Xenopus tropicalis: one gene and its partners. The protein of the gene in region 1 purifies or fractionates together with the protein of each later gene. This does not show direct contact. Links are inferred from orthologs where the notes say so. Each region holds a gene or a part of one and is shown on either strand. Other genes may lie near its edges. The genes, in order: tubb, eef1a1, rictor and arl2.

Evidence for each region.
Region 2: the proteins of tubb (region 1) and eef1a1 fractionate together in Homo sapiens (co-fractionation; 3 studies listed by BioGRID). This does not show direct contact. The link is inferred for Xenopus tropicalis from reciprocal best matches to the Homo sapiens genes TUBB and EEF1A1.
Region 3: the proteins of tubb (region 1) and rictor purify together in Homo sapiens (affinity purification with mass spectrometry; 3 studies listed by BioGRID and IntAct, with this or other methods). This does not show direct contact. The link is inferred for Xenopus tropicalis from reciprocal best matches to the Homo sapiens genes TUBB and RICTOR.
Region 4: the proteins of tubb (region 1) and arl2 purify together in Homo sapiens (co-immunoprecipitation; 3 studies listed by BioGRID and IntAct, counting the BioPlex papers as one, with this or other methods). This does not show direct contact. The link is inferred for Xenopus tropicalis from reciprocal best matches to the Homo sapiens genes TUBB and ARL2.

The regions. Positions count from the first base shown.
Region 1 is NC_030684.2:75,225,265-75,230,794, forward strand, and holds the end of tubb (tubulin beta chain), read right to left. Parts: intron 4,431-5,530; coding exon 4,322-4,430; intron 4,126-4,321; coding exon 4,015-4,125; intron 3,502-4,014; coding exon 2,444-3,501; 3' UTR 1,402-2,443; downstream 1-1,401. UniProt on the Homo sapiens protein: Tubulin is the major constituent of microtubules, a cylinder consisting of laterally associated linear protofilaments composed of alpha- and beta-tubulin heterodimers.
Region 2 is NC_030681.2:91,800,224-91,806,249, forward strand, and holds eef1a1 (elongation factor 1-alpha 1), read left to right. Parts: upstream 1-2,355; 5' UTR 2,356-2,385; coding exon 2,386-2,529; intron 2,530-2,801; coding exon 2,802-2,981; intron 2,982-3,084; coding exon 3,085-3,381; intron 3,382-3,478; coding exon 3,479-3,629; intron 3,630-4,079; coding exon 4,080-4,336; intron 4,337-4,453; coding exon 4,454-4,688; intron 4,689-4,777; coding exon 4,778-4,902; 3' UTR 4,903-5,181; downstream 5,182-6,026. UniProt on the Homo sapiens protein: Translation elongation factor that catalyzes the GTP-dependent binding of aminoacyl-tRNA (aa-tRNA) to the A-site of ribosomes during the elongation phase of protein synthesis.
Region 3 is NC_030677.2:197,058,582-197,063,886, forward strand, and holds part of rictor (rapamycin-insensitive companion of mTOR), read left to right. Parts: intron 1-1,888; coding exon 1,889-2,015; intron 2,016-2,721; coding exon 2,722-2,886; intron 2,887-3,031; coding exon 3,032-3,108; intron 3,109-3,204; coding exon 3,205-3,283; intron 3,284-3,696; coding exon 3,697-3,806; intron 3,807-3,897; coding exon 3,898-3,985; intron 3,986-4,147; coding exon 4,148-4,240; intron 4,241-4,416; coding exon 4,417-4,523; intron 4,524-5,143; coding exon 5,144-5,305. UniProt on the Homo sapiens protein: Component of the mechanistic target of rapamycin complex 2 (mTORC2), which transduces signals from growth factors to pathways involved in proliferation, cytoskeletal organization, lipogenesis and anabolic output.
Region 4 is NC_030680.2:32,598,580-32,604,362, reverse strand, and holds the start of arl2 (ADP-ribosylation factor-like protein 2), read left to right. Parts: upstream 1-2,124; 5' UTR 2,125-2,170; coding exon 2,171-2,235; intron 2,236-5,783. UniProt on the Homo sapiens protein: Small GTP-binding protein which cycles between an inactive GDP-bound and an active GTP-bound form, and the rate of cycling is regulated by guanine nucleotide exchange factors (GEF) and GTPase-activating proteins (GAP).

The DNA of each region.
Region 1 (5,530 bases):
CCCCACACCAGTCACAGACTCCTCCACACTGAGCCCACCGCTGGCTACATTCCTACATGTGGCCAAGCTAAATGGGTGGGTGAGCGCTCGTAGTTCCCTGCAGAGATCAGGAAGTCATCTGGGTTGGCAGGGCCCAAGGCTTACATCTTGGAGCATGTACCCATTCTAAAATGTACTATCCCAGAGCTATTCAGTCTAAGGTACTGCCTGTTGCCTATTCTATTTGAGCCGCAGATCTTAACTCTGCCCCGTCCCTCTGTGAAAAGCTTCCTGCTCCTCAACTGTGTGAAGAGTGACAGAATCAGAGCGGACAATCCCCTTTATCAGGGCAGATGAATGTGAATGTCAGCTGTGTTGATCCGACAAATTTTGTATGATAGTGTAAATGAGCTTGTGTATAGCTATCTGTGTAAGTACATATTATCACATTATTAAACCTTATAGGTATAGATTGGGCCTACAAGATTTGCCTACAACCATTTAAGCCAGCACATTCACATCTTCAGTTCCTAGCCCCACTGAATTCCCCACCGGCCTACTCTATGGCCCTTTTAGTGGGTTTGGCACTTGAAAGTTTCATCCTGCAGAAGGTTGTTGACCGAGGCCATGAAAACAGTACACATTGAACCACCCTCATTGTTTAAATAATATGGTGCTTGATTTACATATAGCTTATTGAGGGGGTGGGGGGGGGGGGGGGAAGGATTGTTGGCTTTAAAAACTACACCTTCACTGGAGTTTCTCTGGTCAGTGTCTGAAAAAGTGTTGGGGGGTGGGTGAAACAGCAGTTCTGTCAGGTCTGCAAAGCTACAACATACCCACTTATAAGATGAAGATTGTCTTGAATTCTATAATGCAAAGTGCTGGGTACCTAGTTTGGTATGATTTTCGGACCGCGTGTGGGTTTAGAATTATCAAGTTAAATTGTTTATAATTCCTATTAAAAGTAATCTGTCTGTAACTGACCTTCCTCTACTTACCCAGAATAACACTGCTATGCTGCATCAGCATGCCTTGATTGTTATGTGCTTTACAGACATCTTAGGAAAGAAAATGAGAGAAGCATGCAATGCGTTGCATGATTTCTACTAAATGTAGTTTGTAGTAAAATGTAACAGCACAGTGAGCAACTTTGAGGGTGATGTAATAAAAGGTAGAATGTTTGAAACATGTCTAGTCAATCAGCAGGTAGCTTTTACTCATCACCCCTTTAAAAATGGATGAAATGGGTTACTGCACATAGGCAAACATTGTGCCTCTTATTAGAAGTATAAATAAAATAAAATAAGGTTACCTTTTTACTTGAAAAAAAATGGCAATAAACAGGTATCTGATACCACTTAAGTTTTTTTTTTATTCATAGCTACTTTTCCAAATAAGTCCATCACACAGAAGACAATGTAAAAAAAAAAGGGTTTTATTTTTTTCCGTCACAGGCTTGTCATCTTTTCAATATGAAAAAGCAACAGTAAAATAAAAATAATGGTATGGGAACAAGAGAAGAAAAAGGGAAGTAATGTAAGAAAATCTGAAGAGTAAAGTTAAGAGAAGAAGAAGAAATAATCCCTATATCACTGTGTAGAGTTCTTTAGCATTCTTCTGCACTTTTTTCTGTTACTTGTTAAGTAAAATGCAGAGCACTTCTCTACATACAACTGCAGGCAATGAACCATGCCAGTTACCCAATGGATAGTGGGCCTATATGATTAATGTAGCTTATAATTAACCAACCAATACTGTTTACAGTAAAGGGAATTAAGTGCATTTGTTAAACATCAGTTTCATTTCATATTTTCTAATTGGAAGTATTAAGGTATTTCAAATACTTGGGATTTACATAAATGTGAGCAAAACCGAATCATATCTATTGCTCTAGTTGACAGAAGTTGCAGTTACGTGTATTTTAACACTTACTAGGTCATTTCCATAGTAACATAAGAAAATGTGAATGTCCACCAAACACTTGAATGTGATCTGTAAAAGCACAGAAAGAAGCAAAATCTGCAAGGGTTTTGTAAAGTCCCAAGGGACTAAATTAGAGGTTTGCTTTGTAACCCAAATGTAGCTGCAGAAACCAGCACCCAGCCACAAATTTGATGATGTTATTAGGCCAAGGAAAGATGGAATTCACAATGGGCTGTTAAAACTCTCTTAAAATCCAAAACCCAAATCCAGAGGCAAATTACTGCATACTGAAACCAGAGACCTACTGTAAAACCTTAGCAAACTGTTTACCCCAATTAAGCCACAACCTACCTTAACTGACAAGCAGAACACAGAAAATGGGAATAGAAGTTTGAGAGACAACAAAAACAAGTAAGGAGAAAAAAGGAAATGGAAAAATATGAATATAAAAACAAATACTACTCTTCGGTACAGATCTTTCTCAGCCTGAGAATGGAGGAGGAAACGTGAAAGGAATTTCAGCAACAGTGAGAAGAGTCTAAGCTTCTTCTTCAGCCTCTTCATTGAAATCTTCCTCTTCTTCAGCAGTAGCATCTTGATACTGCTGGTACTCAGAGACCAGATCATTCATGTTGCTCTCCGCTTCTGTGAACTCCATCTCATCCATCCCTTCTCCTGTGTACCAATGCAAGAAGGCCTTGCGACGGAACATGGCTGTAAACTGCTCTGAGATGCGTTTGAACAGCTCCTGAATGGCAGTGCTGTTACCAATGAAGGTGACTGCCATCTTAAGGCCACGGGGTGGTATGTCGCATACAGCTGTCTTGACATTGTTGGGAATCCATTCAACGAAGTAGCTGCTGTTCTTGTTCTGGACATTAAGCATCTGCTCATCAACTTCTTTCATGGACATACGTCCACGGAATACAGCTGCCACTGTAAGGTACCTGCCGTGGCGTGGGTCACAGGCTGCCATCATGTTTTTGGCATCAAACACCTGCTGTGTGAGCTCAGGCACTGTCAGTGCACGGTACTGCTGACTGCCTCTGCTGGTTAGGGGCGCAAACCCAGGCATGAAAAAGTGTAGACGTGGGAAGGGCACCATGTTGACAGCCAATTTGCGAAGATCAGCATTTAACTGGCCAGGGAAACGGAGGCAGGTAGTGACTCCACTCATTGTAGCACTAACAAGATGATTAAGGTCTCCATATGTTGGTGTAGTAAGCTTGAGGGTACGGAAGCAGATGTCATAGAGTGCTTCATTATCAATACAGTAGGTTTCATCTGTGTTTTCAACTAGCTGATGAACAGAAAGAGTTGCATTGTATGGTTCTACCACTGTATCAGACACCTTTGGAGATGGGACAACACTAAAGGTATTCATGATGCGGTCAGGGTATTCTTCTCGGATCTTACTAATCAAGAGAGTGCCCATACCAGACCCTGTTCCACCACCCAGAGAGTGAGTGAGCTGGAAGCCCTGTAGGCAGTCACAGCTCTCTGCCTCTTTTCTCACAACATCCAGTACAGAGTCTACCAATTCAGCACCTTCTGTGTAATGGCCTTTTGCCCAGTTGTTGCCAGCACCACTTTGACCTGAGAAAAAAAAATAAATAAATTAATAAAAACGGACAAGGGTGAGTGAATTTGTACTGAAAAACAAAATGTAGCAAAGGAACACAAGCAAGTAGATGATCTAAGCTGTACAGTTTAGTGATGCAATTTTTTTTCCCTTCTAACAGGTGACTAAATTCCCTCTAATAACTACTCTAATGATTCTATTAAAATAGACCTGTGAAGTTTCCCTCTGGTGGACTAGATTCAGCTCTATATAAGCCTTTAATAAATATGTCCCACGGAATGATGAGTGTGGGTACATTTAACATGTTAACCTCTTAAAACAAACAACTTTTAATTTATTTGCAATGTGATATGTAGCAAAGCTATCCAACAGAACAGAAGCAGGACACTTCAGTTAAACAAGGATAGGGACTATATTTGGTATAAATCCACCTTCAAACCAAACACATAATAAAAACAAATAAAAACCTTGAAAAACCATGAAAAGAAAAAACGGGCAAAAAAAAAAAATATAAAAATATGCCTTACCAAAGACAAAGTTGTCAGGCCTGAATATCTGTCCAAAGGGTCCTGAGCGCACAGAGTCCATAGTTCCTGGTTCCAGATCAACAAGGATGGCTCGAGGGACATATTTACCACCTAAGAAGAAAATCTGTGTGTCAGTGGAAGTAACAAGGAGCTGGCACAAAAGGAGACTCAAGAAAAAAAATTCCTTTTGTTTATTAAAATCAGTTTCTCCAACTAAGCCTGTTGAGAGTGGTACTTTTTTGTTGCTTTGAACACATTTTACCTACACCCACAGACATAAACATGCATTTATACAAACGCTTCTCACCTGTGGCCTCATTGTAATAGACGCTGATTCTGTCAAGCTGCAGATCACTGTCTCCATGATAGGTGCCAGTGGGGTCAATACCATGTTCGTCACTGATCACCTCCCAAAACTGAGAATAAAATTTACAAATACACTTTGTTAATATACGGAAAGCTGCCAACCAAAGGTTTGATGCAAATCGTGTTACATTAGTTTGGATAATTAAAAAGGCCAAAGGCAGCTGGATGTTGCTGCTTTACAGAACTAAAATGAAAAGGGAAATGGTAACCACATCCCCTTCAGATCTTACACAATACAATTTTTTTCTCCGATTCCCCCTTATCTTTTTTTCCTCCTTCCTACATTTCTGCATCTGTTTTGCAAAAACAACACACTCTGTGAATCCATGTGATGTCTATGCCTCCATCCAATATGGAGTTCTATTTTTATATATATATATATATATATATATATATATATATATATATATATATATATATATATATATATATATATATATAATAGGACTACTTTATCTCTACCTATTTCAGGAATCTATTTCCCTGCCTTTTAAAAACCACAAACTATTACGCATTCATTTTCTCTCTCTGCCTTTTCATTTGTAATTCATACTCCTCCCTGCATTACTGTTCTGCTAAGTATTTAACTCCCTGCAGTCCAATCCTTTTCTACCATTTCCAACTCAATGGGTTTGCTCTTCCCTCCCCCACACTGACAGGAAGTCAGAGAACAAGACAGCCACACAAGCCTAGTGTAGGCGAGACAGGAATGTGACACAAAGGATATTCATTATAAAGCATGACAGGCAGTGACATACTATTTAGAAATATGTCATGTGCACCCGTATGCACAAAAATACTGGATATTTGTTTAGTAGATATACAGAATATGTAATGCTGACAAATGGGCAGGTCTCCATAAAACTAATAGAAATATAAATGTTCTGCAGATTCAAGTGGAGACACATATGTATATTAAACATACTATAATTATCATTCCCAGTAACAAGCCAGGATAATGATATATCTCAGTGGGTCTATTTTGCACAGGGTAAAGCATATCGGGTCATTTGGCAAGGAAGCGCTAAAGCCTAGGGTGTGGCATTGCAGCTGCGCCTGAATGCCAGGAATAGACTGGGACACCCTTACAATATGGATCACACATCCGTTATATCAGCCATATTGGCATCCTGTTAGAAATCTGCTATAT
Region 2 (6,026 bases), on another chromosome or scaffold:
ATGGTTACAACACACCAATAACCATACGTAACTAACACTATTGGGGGGTGAGTGGGGAAATGCCCTTTCCTTATAGTTAATATAAAAGTCATACCTGCTTAGTTTTACATTCCCGTAACAATCATCATTAATTCAGACTACATGGTAACCACATTCAGTAAAAACACAGTTATAGCGAGTTTGTGAGTTTATTAACCACACCATCCCCCCAACCAAAACCCCTTTCAGCCCCCATGAAGCACCCGCATGATGTAGGCCGCTGCTTTCCCAAGTGACGGGTTTTGCAATACGAGAGGCGGCGGCATTTGTCGATGCCCAGGGGAGGTCAGCGAAGAGGGAACCGTGAGTTCAAGTTTATTACCAGACACCTGTAGCTTTGGATGCCTGGAATTCCGCTCCATGCGGCCCAAGTCCTTCAGCCCGCTGTGCTGTTAATAAACCTGGCATACTGCCGCGCATGTTAAACAAGGTCGGCGAAGGAATATCCCAACGCATTCAGCCATTTCCCATTGTATTGGGGTAGAAAACTCTTCTAGCAAATGCTATGCCGCACAATAGGGCCACTGAAGTGACGGCGACACGAACTGTAGGTGAGGTAGCAGAGCCCAGACCCTCCCCCCAGGCGGGACACATGGCCGCCATGATGCGGATGAGTCACGGGGTTACCGGAACACGTTGCTCAATGTAAGAATGTAGCTGAATGCTTCTAAAGCAGCACATTATGCGCACCATTTCGGCCTAAAACCCCGATATTGAACTGTCAACAGCCAACACACGGCTTCTGTGTATATTTAGGTAATGGTAGTTTAGTAACAGTAGGGTTGGTAGGAAGCTATGACGCAAAAGGGAGTGCCATCTTTCCTTTAACCCACAGTCTAAACTTCGTGATAACTCGCGCGTTTCGCTCAACAGCTGCGCCCGGAGCCGCCCTAGTGCTACTGGGAGTTGTAGTATACTAGAAGCTTACAGGCTGAATTTTCACTCAAGACCCCGCCTCTCACACTTTGGGAATTCTGGGCGCGATGATGTCACGATCAAGCCCCGCCCAGTAGAGGCAGCTATATAAAGGGTGGTTAGCGGCGGATTCGCTCTCTTCCTCACCGGGTCTGCGGCGAGTTTTAAGGTAAGTGGGTTGCGTTCAAGGGCCGGGTCGTGATTTTGAGATTTGCAGTGAAACCTGCAATTGGATGTGTGTGCTGTGTTCTGTTCCGTTGTTATTGTAGATAAATAGGTTTCCTCTGCCGTAGTTTATTTAACTTTTATGGAACCACGCGTGCATTTGTTACGGAGTTGCTTGGGGCCGTGGTCTCTTTCAGCTGTGTATTAGCGTATTTCTGGCAATTAGTGTTACCGTATTGTTACACTAGATATCTTGGCGGGAAGGGAACATGGGTGCTTAAAGTGGGCGCAAAATGAAGAACGGTGCCAAAGCAAGGCTTGCGGCCTAGTCCCAATCTGCGCTGCATCCTCTCCTATGTAAGCCATCCGCCTCCTCTCAATATATACTTGGCTTTAGGCGGATGTGGTTAATATTGCCGGTGCTGTATTATTCCAGACGGTAAATGCTTAAGGCTCGACAAGTGAACGTGGTTTGGGGAAGGAGCGAGAGAGCTGTGCGGATGGGTGGCGGCGCGCCTACATGGGATTCATTGTACGTAGTGCAGTTTAGACTGGTCAGGCGAACATAGTGTTTGTGGTGCCTGTAAGCGCTGAACTATAGCAGGACTGGGGCTATTGCCAGTGTCAGGGCCCGGCTGGCACAATGGCGCTAGTGCTGACGTGTATCACCCTCTCTCCCAGGCAGGCTCGGCGTGGCCGGTGTATCCGAGCCAGTGGGGGCGGCTTCACTCACTAAATGGCCGGCGTGCTACGGGTTACTGCTGGCCCTGCTTGAACGCGGGATAGCAGCTGCTTACTTATTGGGTTAAATGTTCTGTGTGGGCTCTGCTCTTTTCTATAGAAATGAAACGTATCTAAACCATTAGTCCTGTTTAGCGTTGCGTTCCCCCATCTGGTTGTTCCATAAAGATGGCGGCGGCTCTCAGCTGAAGGATTTTTTTTTCTCCACAAGATGGAGGCTGAGTCACAAGTGAGGAGACAAAAGAGCTGGGAGCGCTGCATGCAGGGCCTGACTCATACACCAGGGGGAGTACAGGCCTCGCTCTTGCCTTCTTCCTTTTATGTAATGAGGGATTTCAGGGTTTTTTTTCCAACTAGATATCTGTGCAAAGTTCTTGAATTGTGGGTGGGGCTGCTTGTGTCTCCAGCCCTTGGAACTGCTGAGTAATGCCTGCCATGGCTTGCTTTGATGTGACCTATATTTTTAGCTTTTTTTTTTTTTTTGATGTTTTTTAGTGTCCACCGCCAAACATCTAACAATCCACAATGGGAAAGGAAAAGACTCACATCAACATCGTCGTCATTGGACACGTAGATTCTGGAAAGTCCACAACAACTGGACATCTTATCTACAAATGTGGTGGTATCGACAAGAGAACCATCGAAAAGTTCGAGAAGGAAGCTGCTGAGGTAAATTTTGTTAACAATCGCACTTCTTGTGGTATTGCAGCAGTCTCACCCCCCCCCCCCCTTACTAAATATTTAGTCCTGCACATGTTTGTTTAGACAAGTCTTGCCTGTGCACTAATGTGTACTTGTATTTGGTTTGTATTAATAGCCACCTGCCTTGGGTGTTTGTGATAGTAGGGGGAGTATAAACATTGCAGTGTGTCAGGTCATTCTTGGCAGAAGCCTTGTAAGGGGTTTTTAATCATGTCATTGCTGAACTTTTCACCTAACAGATGGGCAAGGGCTCCTTCAAGTACGCCTGGGTCTTGGACAAACTGAAGGCCGAGCGTGAACGTGGTATCACCATTGACATCTCCCTGTGGAAATTTGAGACCAGCAAATATTATGTTACTATCATTGATGCTCCAGGACACAGAGACTTCATCAAGAACATGATCACTGGTACCTCTCAGGTAGGTTTTAAGTCCCAAGCAGCTTTGCTATTTATATCTAAAGTAGGTGAGGCAGGCTTGCTGTTAAGTGCACATGAGTAAAAATGTATGTTTTCTCTTGTAGGCTGACTGTGCTGTCCTGATTGTTGCTGCTGGTGTTGGTGAATTTGAAGCTGGTATCTCAAAGAACGGACAAACTCGTGAGCATGCCCTCCTTGCCTACACTCTGGGAGTAAAGCAACTGATCGTTGGTGTTAACAAAATGGATTCAACTGAACCCCCATACAGCCAGAAAAGATATGAGGAAATCGTTAAGGAAGTCAGCACATACATCAAGAAGATTGGTTACAACCCTGATACTGTTGCCTTTGTACCTATTTCTGGATGGAACGGTGACAACATGCTTGAGCCCAGCGCCAATGTAAGTACTGTGGCAGTTCACTTAAATGTCTACAGCCTGGCATACTCTCTGGTTAGTGTAACAGTATTTTGATGTATACAAATCTTGTTTTTTCTAGATGCCTTGGTTTAAGGGGTGGAAAATCTCACGTAAAGAGGGATCTGGCAGCGGAACTACCCTGCTGGAAGCTCTTGACTGCATTTTGCCACCAAGTCGCCCAACTGATAAGCCTCTGCGTCTGCCTCTGCAGGATGTCTACAAAATTGGCGGTAAGTAACACTTTTCCTATGTGTATGCTGGAATGTTGTTCGTGCTTTAGGTTTACTGGCCTACATGGTTTGTGGGGGAAACCAAGTTAAAAATCGTGCATCTGTTTAAAAAAACTTAGCAGCCTTTTTTTTTTTTTTTTTTTTTTGTACAGGTTAACTGCTTGTCTGAAATAATCCCTCCCCCCCCAACTGCAGTAACAAATTTGAAGTTCACCAGGCATGGATGTCCCTAGTTAACAGCTTTGATATATTACGTTACTGCTTTTTTAATGTCTAGTGAATAAAATATTGGCAGCAAAGAGCTCATAAATCTAATTTTAGCTTAGACACTCTAAACAAGTCTCCAGAAGGAAGACTAGTAATTGCCAACATGTACGTTTAGGCCTTGTTTTGGCAGTGCTGGGATTTAGTATGTTAAAGTATTCACACTAAAATGGCTGTTTCTTTCAGGTATTGGTACTGTACCAGTTGGTCGTGTGGAGACTGGTGTCCTTAAGCCAGGCATGGTGGTTACTTTTGCCCCTGTTAATGTAACAACTGAAGTTAAATCTGTTGAAATGCACCATGAAGCCCTTAGCGAGGCCATGCCCGGTGACAATGTTGGCTTTAACGTGAAAAACGTTTCTGTGAAGGACGTCCGTCGTGGCAACGTTGCTGGTGACAGCAAGAATGACCCACCAATGGAAGCTGGTACCTTTACAGCACAGGTATGCAAGATGGCTTATGGCTAAAGGAAGTGATATGGCTTTCCATAGCTGGCTATGGGGGCATTTAAATCGCTTTGCATAACTCTAAGATTGTTTTCTAAATGTCTGACTTAATAGGTTATCATCCTGAACCACCCAGGCCAGATTGGTGCTGGATATGCCCCTGTGTTGGATTGCCACACAGCTCACATTGCTTGCAAGTTTGCTGAGCTGAAGGAAAAGATTGATCGCCGTTCTGGTAAGAAACTGGAAGACAATCCCAAGTTCCTGAAGTCTGGTGATGCTGCCATTGTTGACATGATCCCAGGAAAGCCTATGTGCGTGGAGAGCTTCTCTGACTACCCCCCTCTTGGTAAGTCTTTTTCAAAATAACCTTTTTGCAGTCTTGTAAAATGCTACCCAGTAGGCCCTTAAGCTAATTATCCATTTATTTTTTTCAAGGTCGTTTTGCTGTCCGTGACATGAGGCAGACTGTTGCTGTAGGAGTCATCAAGGCGGTCGATAAGAAGGCTGCTGGAGCTGGCAAAGTCACAAAGTCTGCTCAGAAAGCACAGAAAGGCAAATGAATATTTCCAGCATCTCTCACCTCAGTCATAACCAGTGGTGGAGGATTGGTCTCAGAACTCTTTCTATCAATTGGCCATCAGAGTTTAATAGTCAAAGACTGGTTAATGATTACAATGCATCGCAAAAGCTTCAGAAGGAAAAAAATGCTCGTGGACACATTTGTTTGTGGCAGTTTTTAAGTTATTAGTGTTTTAAATCCAGTAATTTCTAAATGGAAGCAACTTGACCAAAATCTGTCACCAAATTGAGACCATTAAAAAAAAGTTAAAAGATAACAAGCTTGTTTTCCACTCTGTGGGTGATTTCAGCTGAGCTTGGTGTTGCAGCTGTAAATAAAACAAATTAGCATCTAGGTTGGTAGGTCACTGGATACTAATTAGTTTGGGCATTTACTTGGGTGTACCTATATTAGACACCACAGTGAATCCAGTTGCCCCTCTGTTTTATTGCAGTGCCAATTACATTTTAAACAAAACAGAAGCATATGCACAGACAACTGTAATTTTCATTCCCTCAAGTTGCAAGATTTAAACCTAGCAGTAGTATATCTAGTATAAATAAATCTAAAGCAACTGGACTTGTTTGGCAATCATTTACCAAACAAGTCCAGTTGCTTTAGATTTATTTATACTAGATATACCATGACCTGGATGAATGAAAATCTTCATAGACACCTAGCAGTAGTATGTTGTCTTAGGAGATTTTGCAACACTTTGGTCTCTAGCTGCAAGTGCAGGAAAGCATGGGGTTGCTGAGAGCGTCATGCCTCTAAAAGGCACAGGCACAAGCCAGTTGTAATATGTATGGCAATAGCAGTATAATGACTTGGGTAATTTGGAAGACACACAAGTGTGTAGTTACTAGCAATGCTTTATTCTTTCTATGGTATGGCTGAGTTTCTGTATGGGCTAAAGTGCATGTAGGGTTTTCATGGCATGTATACTCCCACTGTACAGCAAATTACACAAGGAATTGATGGAAGTTGCATGGTGAGGTTTGTCTGGACAAATATCTGGTATCGGCCTTTACCTAAGAGGGCTTTCCAATAGATAAACCTGTCTAGTTGGCATTTGCTTCCATATAACCATAAAAACATCTGGGATTAGGTGAGCAGGCTAAATGC
Region 3 (5,305 bases), on another chromosome or scaffold:
TCGTGAATTAATAAATGTCCCCCATAGTCTTAATAACTGAGCATGTTCACTTGGTATGGGTGTCTGTGCAGGAGCGAGGCATTATGGGAACTTTCTTTACACAGCTCAGCATTTTTTCTTCCTGTTTGGCTTCTGATCATCTGAACGGGAGAAAAATGGGGAGACTTAAGGGCACTATTGAGAGAACTGAAGGTATGCCTGCAGCTTGAGATTAACTCTTTACTAGCCTTTCCTTAAAGGTGGCCATATACAAGGTCGCCAAGAGAGCAGATCTTCTCCCGATATCCCCACCTACGGGTGGGTGATATCGGGCTTATTCGTCGTTTAGGCACCATTTGTTCGGGGACCACTTTAACGAGCCAATGCGGTCCCGGATCCGTTGGAAAAATCAAACCTGGCCTATTTCAGGCCAGATGTCGGTCAGGCAGGCCCGTCGTTTGTGCCCATAAACAGGCAGTTACGCTGCCAAATCGATCTAAAGGACTGATATCGGCAGCTTGGCCCGTGCATGGCCAATGCAACTCTGTATGTCTAAGATGGTTCTTATGGGTTTTTTATCATTTCTTGTTTCTCTCATGGGATAGGAATATCTAAAATAGCAATGTACAAAATTGATTCTTGTGGTGCAGGTGAGGATTTTATTAGCTAGAAATGTCCAGTGCTAATAATAAATGCCAGAGTACTGACGAGAAAGTGATATGTATCATTTATCTAAATACTACGTTTATAATTATCGTTTAGCAGCCTTTAAATTAAGATTCTAATGCAAACCAGTGGTTTCATTAAAAAAAAGTAATGGTTTATAAAGGGTTATCCAACATGTATGAATCTTCCACAGGAGGGACAGATGGTGAGGTACTCATCCCAGCATGCAGTGGGCTTGTCAAAAAATTATGTTTTGTCAGTTTACTGCTCTTAAACGGAACATATAATGTGTTTATGTAGCTAATGTTTATGTGGCTTGACTTTGATATATAATGTAAAATTGCTCAGAATGACCTTCTAAGCACTTTCGCAGTTAATAATTTGTTTCCAAAGCTATTAAGCAGTTTATATATTTCAGTATAAGTTTTGCACTATTAGCAATTTTACATTACATTTTTTAAGGTTTACTTATCCTTTATAGACCGTTTTTTGGGCCATGTCTGTGTTAGAAATGATTATGTACAATGTCTTCTTGTCTAGATGCATAATGTGATGGCACATACTTGTTATTTATTGCCCTTTTTAACTGATTAAAGCTAATAGTTGTGTTGCTGCCACACTTATTTGTTCAGTTTTACACAAAAAAAAGTGTTAGCCCGCTGGTCCCTAAATATCATTTTTAACACATTGGCCACAACCCCCCCCCCCCCGAGAGAGGGAAAGAAAGCTTAGCTTCTGATGTGTTATGTTACTATGTGTCATATCCCTGTGAAAGGAGATACAAACCCAAAAATAACCTTTTGCCTTTTAAAGCAAAAGTCATTCTACACATCTTTCAATGTACGCTCATAAAAGGTTTTCATTTGTTATTAAGCCATTTGCTCATATAAAACCATGTCTTATCTGCCCCTGTTTATTTGAAACCGATATAGCAAAGGTTAGCTTTGCAATCTTCTTCACAGCTGCCTTCTGCAACATTGTTTCAGAAGTCAGAACCAGCAGTGTTGAAAATAGATAGGCAAAGGGGATGAGTGGTGAAATGTTTTAAGATAAACTCTGAAAAGTCCAGTTGTTTTAGACTGAATTCTACTAGATATTGTATATCATTACCTAGATGAATGAGAATCTTCATAGACACTGGGAAATAGCTTAGAAGTAAAATTCCTTTCTATATATCTCCATCCATGCAAGGTCATTAATATGAGAAGGGAAGGTTCAGTCAGTGTTCTGTGCTCTCTTGCAGTCTTTTGAATCTTTGCTCCCTGAAAAACCAAGATCACTTGTTAAAGTTAGCCATCTCCTGCCTGGATTATAGCCGAGATGGGCTGGCCAGAGTCATTCTTTCCAAAACCCTGACTGCTTCTACTGATGTGAGTATGATCAATCCCTTTGTGGCCATCACAAGTCTCATTTTTGGAGGGGCTGTTTATGGGTATTTATATCTACCATATGCCTCATGCATATGTGCTGTGTAGCTGAGCACGAGTGTCCTTGTGGTGTCATGAAGGGAATGTGAGGATGAGCACCGGCACCGCTGTGATACCATGATAAGAAGGGAGAAATATACTGTATATTCTGCTGTGGGAACCCTCCTTCCAAATACAGGCAGCTTTGTATTTATGGGGATAGTGGTCCGTCTCGATTGAGACCTGCAGCAGTTTTCTGCACCGAGAAAAGGCAAAGAAAGGGCCCCTTGCTCGCTGGCTTGGAAGCCATAAATGCCTCCTTGTATATCACAGGTGTAAAGTGAAATGTGCTCCACTCTACTCACATTCCCCTTTGTTTTTCCATGCTTTTTTATTCTCACTCTTGTTCTTCCATATTAACCCTTTTTGTCACCCTTCCTGTGATCACCCACCTTCCCTCACTTTGATTCCTTTCCCCATCTTACATTTTCTGCTTCTTTTTTCCCCCCTTATCCCCATTTTCTTCTATTCTGCTCTCCGTTTCCTTAAAGGAGATGTAGACCCTAACTTTTCCTACCATGGATACAAGTTGGGGACATTTCCCGCACTCCAACCGCATCATTTTTACTGCATGAACATTAAACATTAAAATATCTGTCTTTCTGTACAGAGCTGCCGGCTGTATGCCACCAAGCACTTGCGAGTCCTTCTGAGAGCCAACGTTGAGTTTTTCAGTAACTGGGGCATTGAGCTACTGGTGACCCAGCTGCATGATAAAAGCAAAAATATATCTTCTGAAGCTGTGGACATCTTGGATGAGGCCTGTGAAGACAAGGTGATTTGCTTGCTTGCCTAATTAAAACCAATTATTCCTAAGAAAATGCATGTTGTATAAGAACAATCTAAATAGTAACAATATGCTCAATATAAAAATGCAAACAGAATATTTTGGTCTGTAAAACATAATTTCTTTCTTTAAGGCCAATCTCCATGCACTGATCCAAATGAAACCGGCACTCTCTCATCTCGGGGACAAGGGGCTTCTCCTTCTCCTTAGGTGATTTGCTTACAGCCTTGCAGTACCAATTCAACAGGAACATTCACCTTGTGGTTTACTAAATGTTTTTTTTTTTTATTATTATTATTTTTGCAGATTCATGTCAATTCCAAAAGGCTTCTCTTATTTAAATGAGAGAGGTTATGTGACCAAGCAGCTGGAAAAATGGCAAAAGGTATTTGGACAAAGCCGACTCTGGGCAGTTTTCTGTGTTTATCATTTATGAACTGGTAGAATGCTGGTGATTAGCATTGCTCTAATTATCACGTAAAGGGGGCCACAGGCGGGTTTAAGCTGCTGGTTCATGTCCTTCAGACCGATTCAGCAGCTTATCAGCACGTGTATGGGGCCCTCCGCCAGGCCTCCCCGACCAACATCGCCCAGATGTTGATTTTTCTGTCTGATCGAGGGCTGGTGTTTTGCTCACTGATGCGGTCCACGTTCTGGCTTTTCATATCCCCTACATTGTAATGCAATTGTTTGGTCTGAGAAAGGGACTTTATGGGGATTTTATAGTAAACATAGCAAAAAGGACTTACTTGACCCTCCAATCAAAAATTCTTCTTTTACATGTTATCTTTTGTTTAGGAATACAATTTAAAATATGTAGATCTGATTGAGGAGCAGTTAAACGAAGCTCTCACCACTTATCGCAAGCCAGTTGATGGTGACAACTATGTTCGGCGTAGCAATCAAAGGTACCTGAGCTGCACCGACCTTTACCCAAATGTTACAGCTGTAAGAAATATGTTTTTTGACTATGTTCCTCTTGCATTTTTATCTACACAGACAGCAGCGGCCCCATGTTTATTTACCTGTGCATTTGTATGGGCAGCTGGTGTACCATAAGACTGGTTGTCATCTGCTGGAAGTTCAGGTGAGAGCAATGTATATACACTAGTTCTCTCTGTACTAGCTTATGTGAAGAAGAGGTAGGTGGGTGAGGAATGAAGGGCTGATTGCTGATTATGCTGAATTCTTTTTTATTATGTTGGTAACTTAATTGGTTTCATTTTTTAATTTTTTTTTTAATTTGAAGAATGTTGTCCCAGATCTGAGCTACACTGTCCGATCGCCATCATTAGACAAATGGGATGGAATCAAGCAGCTGAAAGCAGCCCTTTGGGCACTGGTGAGTTATGTCTGTTTATAACATTACCCAATGGGACATTACTGGTTCTAACTCCTTACATGAGGTACAACTATGCAATGTTATTAATATCATACCACACAAGCACATAGTGACTGGTTGCGTTTAAACAAACCCTCCAGCTGCCACCACAAATCTTCCATTTTTCTGTTTTATAGGGTAACATTGGGTCTTCGAACTGGGGACTTAATTTACTTCAAGAGGAGAATGTGATCCCTGATATTGTATCTCTGGCTCAGCATTGTGACGTTCTCTCAATAAGAGGGTGAGTGTGGTTGCATGGTTTAGAACCCCTTCCTATTGCCTCTGTTGAGGATGCAAGTAGCGTGGCTTTATTTTCTTATACTTCATTTTAAGTTGAGTGCGGTCTTATTGGCTGATCAGAACAGGTCAAATCTTTGCAGCAGGAGTGCCGATATGTTAGTTTGCAGTTTTCCAGTAGATCACAGCATTGTGGCATTGCCCACACACCTTTATTAGTTCTCCCTTCTGTGTTCCTTAACGTATTAATATATTCAATAGAATAATTATATGGTAACTAAAGAAAAGGGCGCATTTATATGACATAATGATCCAGTGTAATGCAGTGATCACAACAGTGTACCTTGAGGTGGTGGACCCTGATCCAGGGTGAACCTGACCCTTCCGGATCATGTGTTTGTTCTTCTATTGGGTTATAAACCTGTAGCTCTAAGGAGCCTTATTGTAATCCTCAAATGTCTGCATTACTGTAGACCTTTGGATCTTTGCCCTAAGTAATCAAAAGAGTTGATTAAGATGTTGGGAGTTGCTGCAGTGAAAATGTGTAGGAAGATTTCTGAACATTTTGCTAGATATTTGTATTTAAATTTTTCTGAAAAAAACAAAACTCTTTGTGTATTCTAGGACCTGCGCGTATGTCCTTGGCCTGCTCAGCAGAACAAAGCAAGGTTGCGATACCCTAAAGCAGCATAACTGGGATGCCGTAAGGCACAGTCGCAGGCATCTTTGGCCAGTGGTCCCTGATGATATGGAGCAGCTGTGCAATGAGCTTTCTTCTATACCAAG
Region 4 (5,783 bases), on another chromosome or scaffold:
TCTGTTATATTGTTTGCATGCCAACCAAGCAAAACAGCAGCACAAAAACTAAAAAATATATTGAAATAATATTTACTTATTTAGTATGATGTTGACAGTGGTAATATAAGACAGTTCTTATTTTTGTGTTTTTTTTAACCATTTTACTAATTATCTGTAATATAAAGAGGTCGGCACTTGATACACCTATAAACAAGTGTTATACAAAACTTAAAATGTATCAAGCCATTTGTAGGCAACACATACGAAGACAGCAAAGTAGTTTGATTTTTCTTTGTCTACTCATGGGGTCTCATTCACTGCCTGCCTCTATATATTATGGATTATCTGCTCCTTATATTGTAGGCTCAGATTTGTGCAACTAATCCAACTGCATACATAGGTGAGAATTTAACACCAATAGCACACTGGTTACACTATGACAACACTGCACTACATGATCTTCTGTAAGATCTGCCTTGTAGGAATGAAAGGTTGGTAATAGACTTCCCACTAAATAGTGACTGTCTATGGCATCTTACAGCAGCCCCTCTGGCATTTCAAGTACACAGAGACCCAAACAGCCCCCCACCAGCCCAATAAATAGTGACTGTCTATGGCATCTTACAGCAGCCCCTCTGGCCTTTGCCAGTCTGGGTCTGACTATGGTATTACAGTATTACATCCATGAACAGCAATGAAAAGATGGATTTCTCAGCTGCCTTGATTCAATAAAAATAATAAATATATAGTAAATATATAGATAGGCAAATATCTTGTAGTCAGTATATTTGCTAGTTATGGGCTGTCTGCACATTTAACAATTATTTGAATATAATTTTGCATTTGTTACTTTCACACTGTGATCTCAGGATTACGTTGCTCCTTTTGTCTCCCTTATTTCTGAAGAATAGTCAGTAAGACACTGTAATGTCAGTAATTATTAAATCCAGTATAACTGTACTAACGTAGGAATTAACCCATGACATTACCATTTTATAAACTGTGATCACAGATGTTTATTATTGCAGAAACATTGCTGAATTTAATGTTCATCACTCACTGACATTTTAGGGACACTGGGAAAGTGCTGAGGCACATTAATATATTTGTCTAGTTTTTTTCTTGTTTTTTGTACAGAACCAGAGAGCTATAGCAACACAAGCCTGTGTGGTTGATAGCAGGTGGCAAACACTATGTGAAGGTATCAGGGATATCCAACCAGCACCTGAAAAACATCTTAAAGGGTGGAAGTTCTGGGCATTCCTTTTTTCTATGAATCCAGCTCCCTCAGACTGGGGTCCCACATTTCCCCATTGCTCCCACCCCTCTCACTGTTACACTCGGTTCAGCCTCCTTTCACTACACATTCCTTATCAGATTTCAGCCTTTGTTCATTTTTGGCCCCTAAACCCAATTTTCTGCTGTTAAATATAATTCCACTTTCGGTATTTCAGCATCAGTCGTTTCCCATTATTTTAACAATCTATCTGCATTCCTGTCATCAGGGTTCCATTTTATGGTTCTTGTTCTTATGAATGATTTCAGCTCTGTCTCCGTCTTCACATCACCTATTTATATTAAATCATGTTTATATTTACCACCACGGCAAGCTAATCGCCTCCTTTATAAATGTATATTATCCGTCTCATTGCCTGCCCTATCTGTTTTGTCCCTCTATACGCCCATCTGCTTTCTCAGTTTGCTGCTTTTACTCACCGGCACCTTTGGGTAGACTTAGACACACAAAAGATGGCCACCTTGACCCGCCGCACGCATGCGACGCAACGTCACCTTGACAACCATCCACCAATGAGAACTCGCAGATACCCGAAATTATATGCCAAATATCTTTATCTTTTCATTACAATTCATTTATTTTTTTATTGTAAAAAAGTGGTATCTTTTAAATTAGAGAATGTGGATTACGAATAATTGTTATATATATTTATTACCTCACATAGTATTAGCATATACATATGACACGTTTTGTCATGTCGGTATAATTAAAGTTGTTGACAAAAAAAAAAATGAATGCTTTGTTTCCATAGCGACACGGTTAGATGGCGTTCATTGGCCTACGCAGACCTACGCAAATACCAATAGCAGGGGCGGAAGTTGAAGAACGTCGTATCTGATTGGTCGGCAGTTCTGACAGGAGACCTGGGCAAGGAGAAAGCGTCTGAGCATCATGGGCTTACTAACTATTCTTAAGAAAATGAAGCAGAAGGAGCGGGAGGTTCGGCTACTCATGCTGTATCCACACCTTGGTGTATCGCGGCGGGAACTATTGAGCTATTATGTTAGGGCCCGACTTGAGAAAGCACATACATTGCTACATGTGGCTACTGTCTTTATGGCTGTGTAAGAGCAAAGTAGGGATCGGACAATATTTCATGTTACACCGTGTAATGCTTGTCTTATGTAGCGTCTTAAATGGCGGGGTGACTGGTCAGTTTGGTAGGTGGGGGCAGAACATTAGTTATATAAAGCATGGTGTGTTTAGTTGCACTAATATAACTAGGGTGTGGTTTAGGTGCCCCTGACCTGCTGAGCACTTTGTATGGGGCCACAGTATATTCCAGAATATAACTGCGCTGGGCATTCCTTTATGCACTTGTGTCTGGCCATTCTCATATTGAGGTGAGTGCCAAAATGTACTATAATGTACTATAACAACGTGTCATTAATATTTAATCGTAGAAACCCACGTTTTTCTGTACACAAAAGTGTACATTTTGGGCACCATTTTAAACCTAAAAAGAAAATTGAAATTCACTGGAGGATGCCAATTTGTTAACCCCCCCCCCCCCCCCCCCCCCATATATATATTTTAACCCAGTTAGTCTCTCTCTAATTTTCTGTAAAAAAAAAAGAGAAAAAGCACACCAGCCTAATGCACTTTTTCAATGAGCTGCGCTCTTCCATCTTTGCTGCTTGTCTCAAATCCCTTGCAGCTGTTCTGCTCTGGTAGATATGGCAGTTTTAGTTCATTACATTACATTACATTAACATTTATTTATAAAGCGCCAACATATTCCGCAGCGCTGTACAATAAGTGGGTTTCATACATTGGACATACAGAGTAACATATAAAGCAATCAATAACCGATACAAGAGGTGAAGAGGGCCCTGCCCAAAAGAGCTTACAATCTACAAGGAGAAAGGGTTGAGACACAAGGTGTGGGAATGGGCATGACCAGAGTTGTGAGAGGTGGGGCACAGGGTATTGCTAAACTAGATTAGGGTAAGCCTCTCTAAATAAATGTGTTTTTAGAGATTTCTTGAAGGCAGAGAGATTGGTAGAAAGTCTGACAGTTTGTGGGAGCGAATTCCAGAGAAGGGGGGCAGCCCTTGCAAAGTCTTGAATGCGAGCGTGTGAGGAGGGAATGAGAGAGGAGTTGAGGAGCAGGTCAGTAGAGGAGCGTAACAAGCGGGTTGGATGGTACCTAGAGATGAGTTCAGAGATGTAGGGTGGGGCAGAGTTATGAACTGCTTTAAATGTGAGGGTCAATAGCTTGAATTTTATCCTGGATGGTAGGGGAAGCCAGTGCAGGGATTGGCAAAGCGGCACGGCAGAGGAGGAGCGGTTGGAGAGGTGTATGAGCCTGGCAGCAGTATTCATTATGGACTGGAGAGGGGACAGTCTTTGGAGGGGAAGGCCAATTAATAGGGAGTTACAGTAGTCCAGGCGAGATATTATAAGAGGGTGAATAAGAATTTTGGCAGCATCTTGGGTGATAAATGATCGGATTTTGGAGATATTTCTTAGGTGAAAGTGACATGATTTGATAAGTGATTGGATATGAGGGGTGAAGGACAGGGCAGAATCAAGGATAACCCCAAGGCACCGGGCCTGGGAAGATGGGGTGATGGTAGAATTGTTAACCGTTCAATGCATGGGCACCAGTCCTAGACAGCTTCAAGGGTTCATGGGTATGGGTGGTGGCACAAACGGCACAATACTCAGTAAGAAATGTACCCTGAGCCTCTGCATTTTTATCAGGAGCCAATGTTTGTATTGTTGAATGGTCATATCTTGCATCGTGGTACATTTATGATGAATATCCAGCCAGGCTGTTGGTTTGACCACATACACTGGCCGATAACCTGCAGACTCTTGGTGGGGTCAAGTCAGCAGCTATTATTAGATGACTGCATTGGGGTATGGGATGGGGATGAGTTTTCCTTGCAGCGTTTTGTTGAATATTGTAATCTGGCCATTGAAGGTATTAAGTTTACTTACGAAACAAACAGGGATGTGATCCCCTTCCTGGATATAGTATTTTTTGTACAAAACAACCGAATAGCAACAGATTTATACCGTAAACCTATAACACGCAATACACTCTTACATGCAGACAGCGGGCACCCCCGGAATTGTGTGCGAGGAATCCCAGTGGGACAGTTTCTGCATCTTAGACGCATATGTTCCTCTTGGGATTCCTTTCACAAACAGGCCATGCAACTGTGGGACAGATTTGTACAGAGAGGTTATGACACGGAAACCATCAAAATAGCCTATGAGAGGGCAGTTGCCACCAGTAGGTCCGATTTACTCAATAGTGCATCTCAGGATAAGGCATGCCCAAGGGGTAAGGCCAAATATAATCATAAGTCCAATACTAGGTTTTGCCTTACTTATGGCAAGGGAGTTGCAGAAATACAAAGAAGTGTCCGCAAACACTGGGCGGTCCTTTTACAAGATGCAGATCTGTGTAAGGTCTTGGATGAGACACCCCGATTTGTTTTTAAAAGGGGTAGAAATTTAGCCTCATGGATTTCTAAAAGTCTATACTCCACTGAGACTTATAAACAGGGGGCGACATGGATGCGCTATAAGGGTACATATAAATGCGGTAGAAGGAGATGTAAAGCTTGTACTCTAATTGGGGTATCCAAATCCTTCAGGAGCTCCAATACAGGGTGTGTCTACCAGATTCCCCAATACTTTAATTGTCAGACCAAAGGGGTGGTATATCTAGCCACATGTGAGTGTGGAGCCCAATATGTGGGCAAGACTATCCGGGGGGCAGGCATACGCTTTCTTGAACATATGTCAGCAGTAGATAGGGGTGATCTAAGGTCTGCAGTAGCCAAGCATGCCATTGAAGCACATAGTAAGAGGTGTACGATTACCTTTCAAATCATTGATAAACCGAGACTGAATGTCAGAAAGGGGGAACTGGATAAGAGGCTCTCAGAAAGGGAAGTCTATTGGATATATTATTTGAAAACCACTGAATGTTATGGGGGCTTAAATAGAGAGTGGGAGCTTTCCTGTTACTGTTGAATCTCTTATCTCTTCTTTGAATGTATGTCCTTGTTGTCTTTAGTTACACGGATGACATTGCGAATTGTTGTGATTTTATATATATTAAGGGTATGTCCATTGTTCTGATTTACTACCTAGATTAAATATTTATGTTTGGATACATTACCGATTACATGACATAATTAGCGAAACACACCTGTGAAGTGATAATATACCTCTTGTATACATATTCAGTTTAGATTTCAAAAGTAAGGGGTTATATAGTTACTATGTATACAGAGTCTTCATAATGATTTTATTGCCCTAATATTTTTATATATTTTTATATGTTTTCCACGTTGAATTGTATATATCATATCTGTTACGTGTTTTCCACGTTGAACTGTATATATCAAATATGTGTTACAAATGTGGCACCCTAGGGGTTAAAGCACACTTATGGGGGTGGGTCTTTACCTGGCTATTTAGGGCACTAGAGGGTGTGATTTGCACATTATAGCTTCTGAGGAAGTGGCAGTAAGCCACGAAA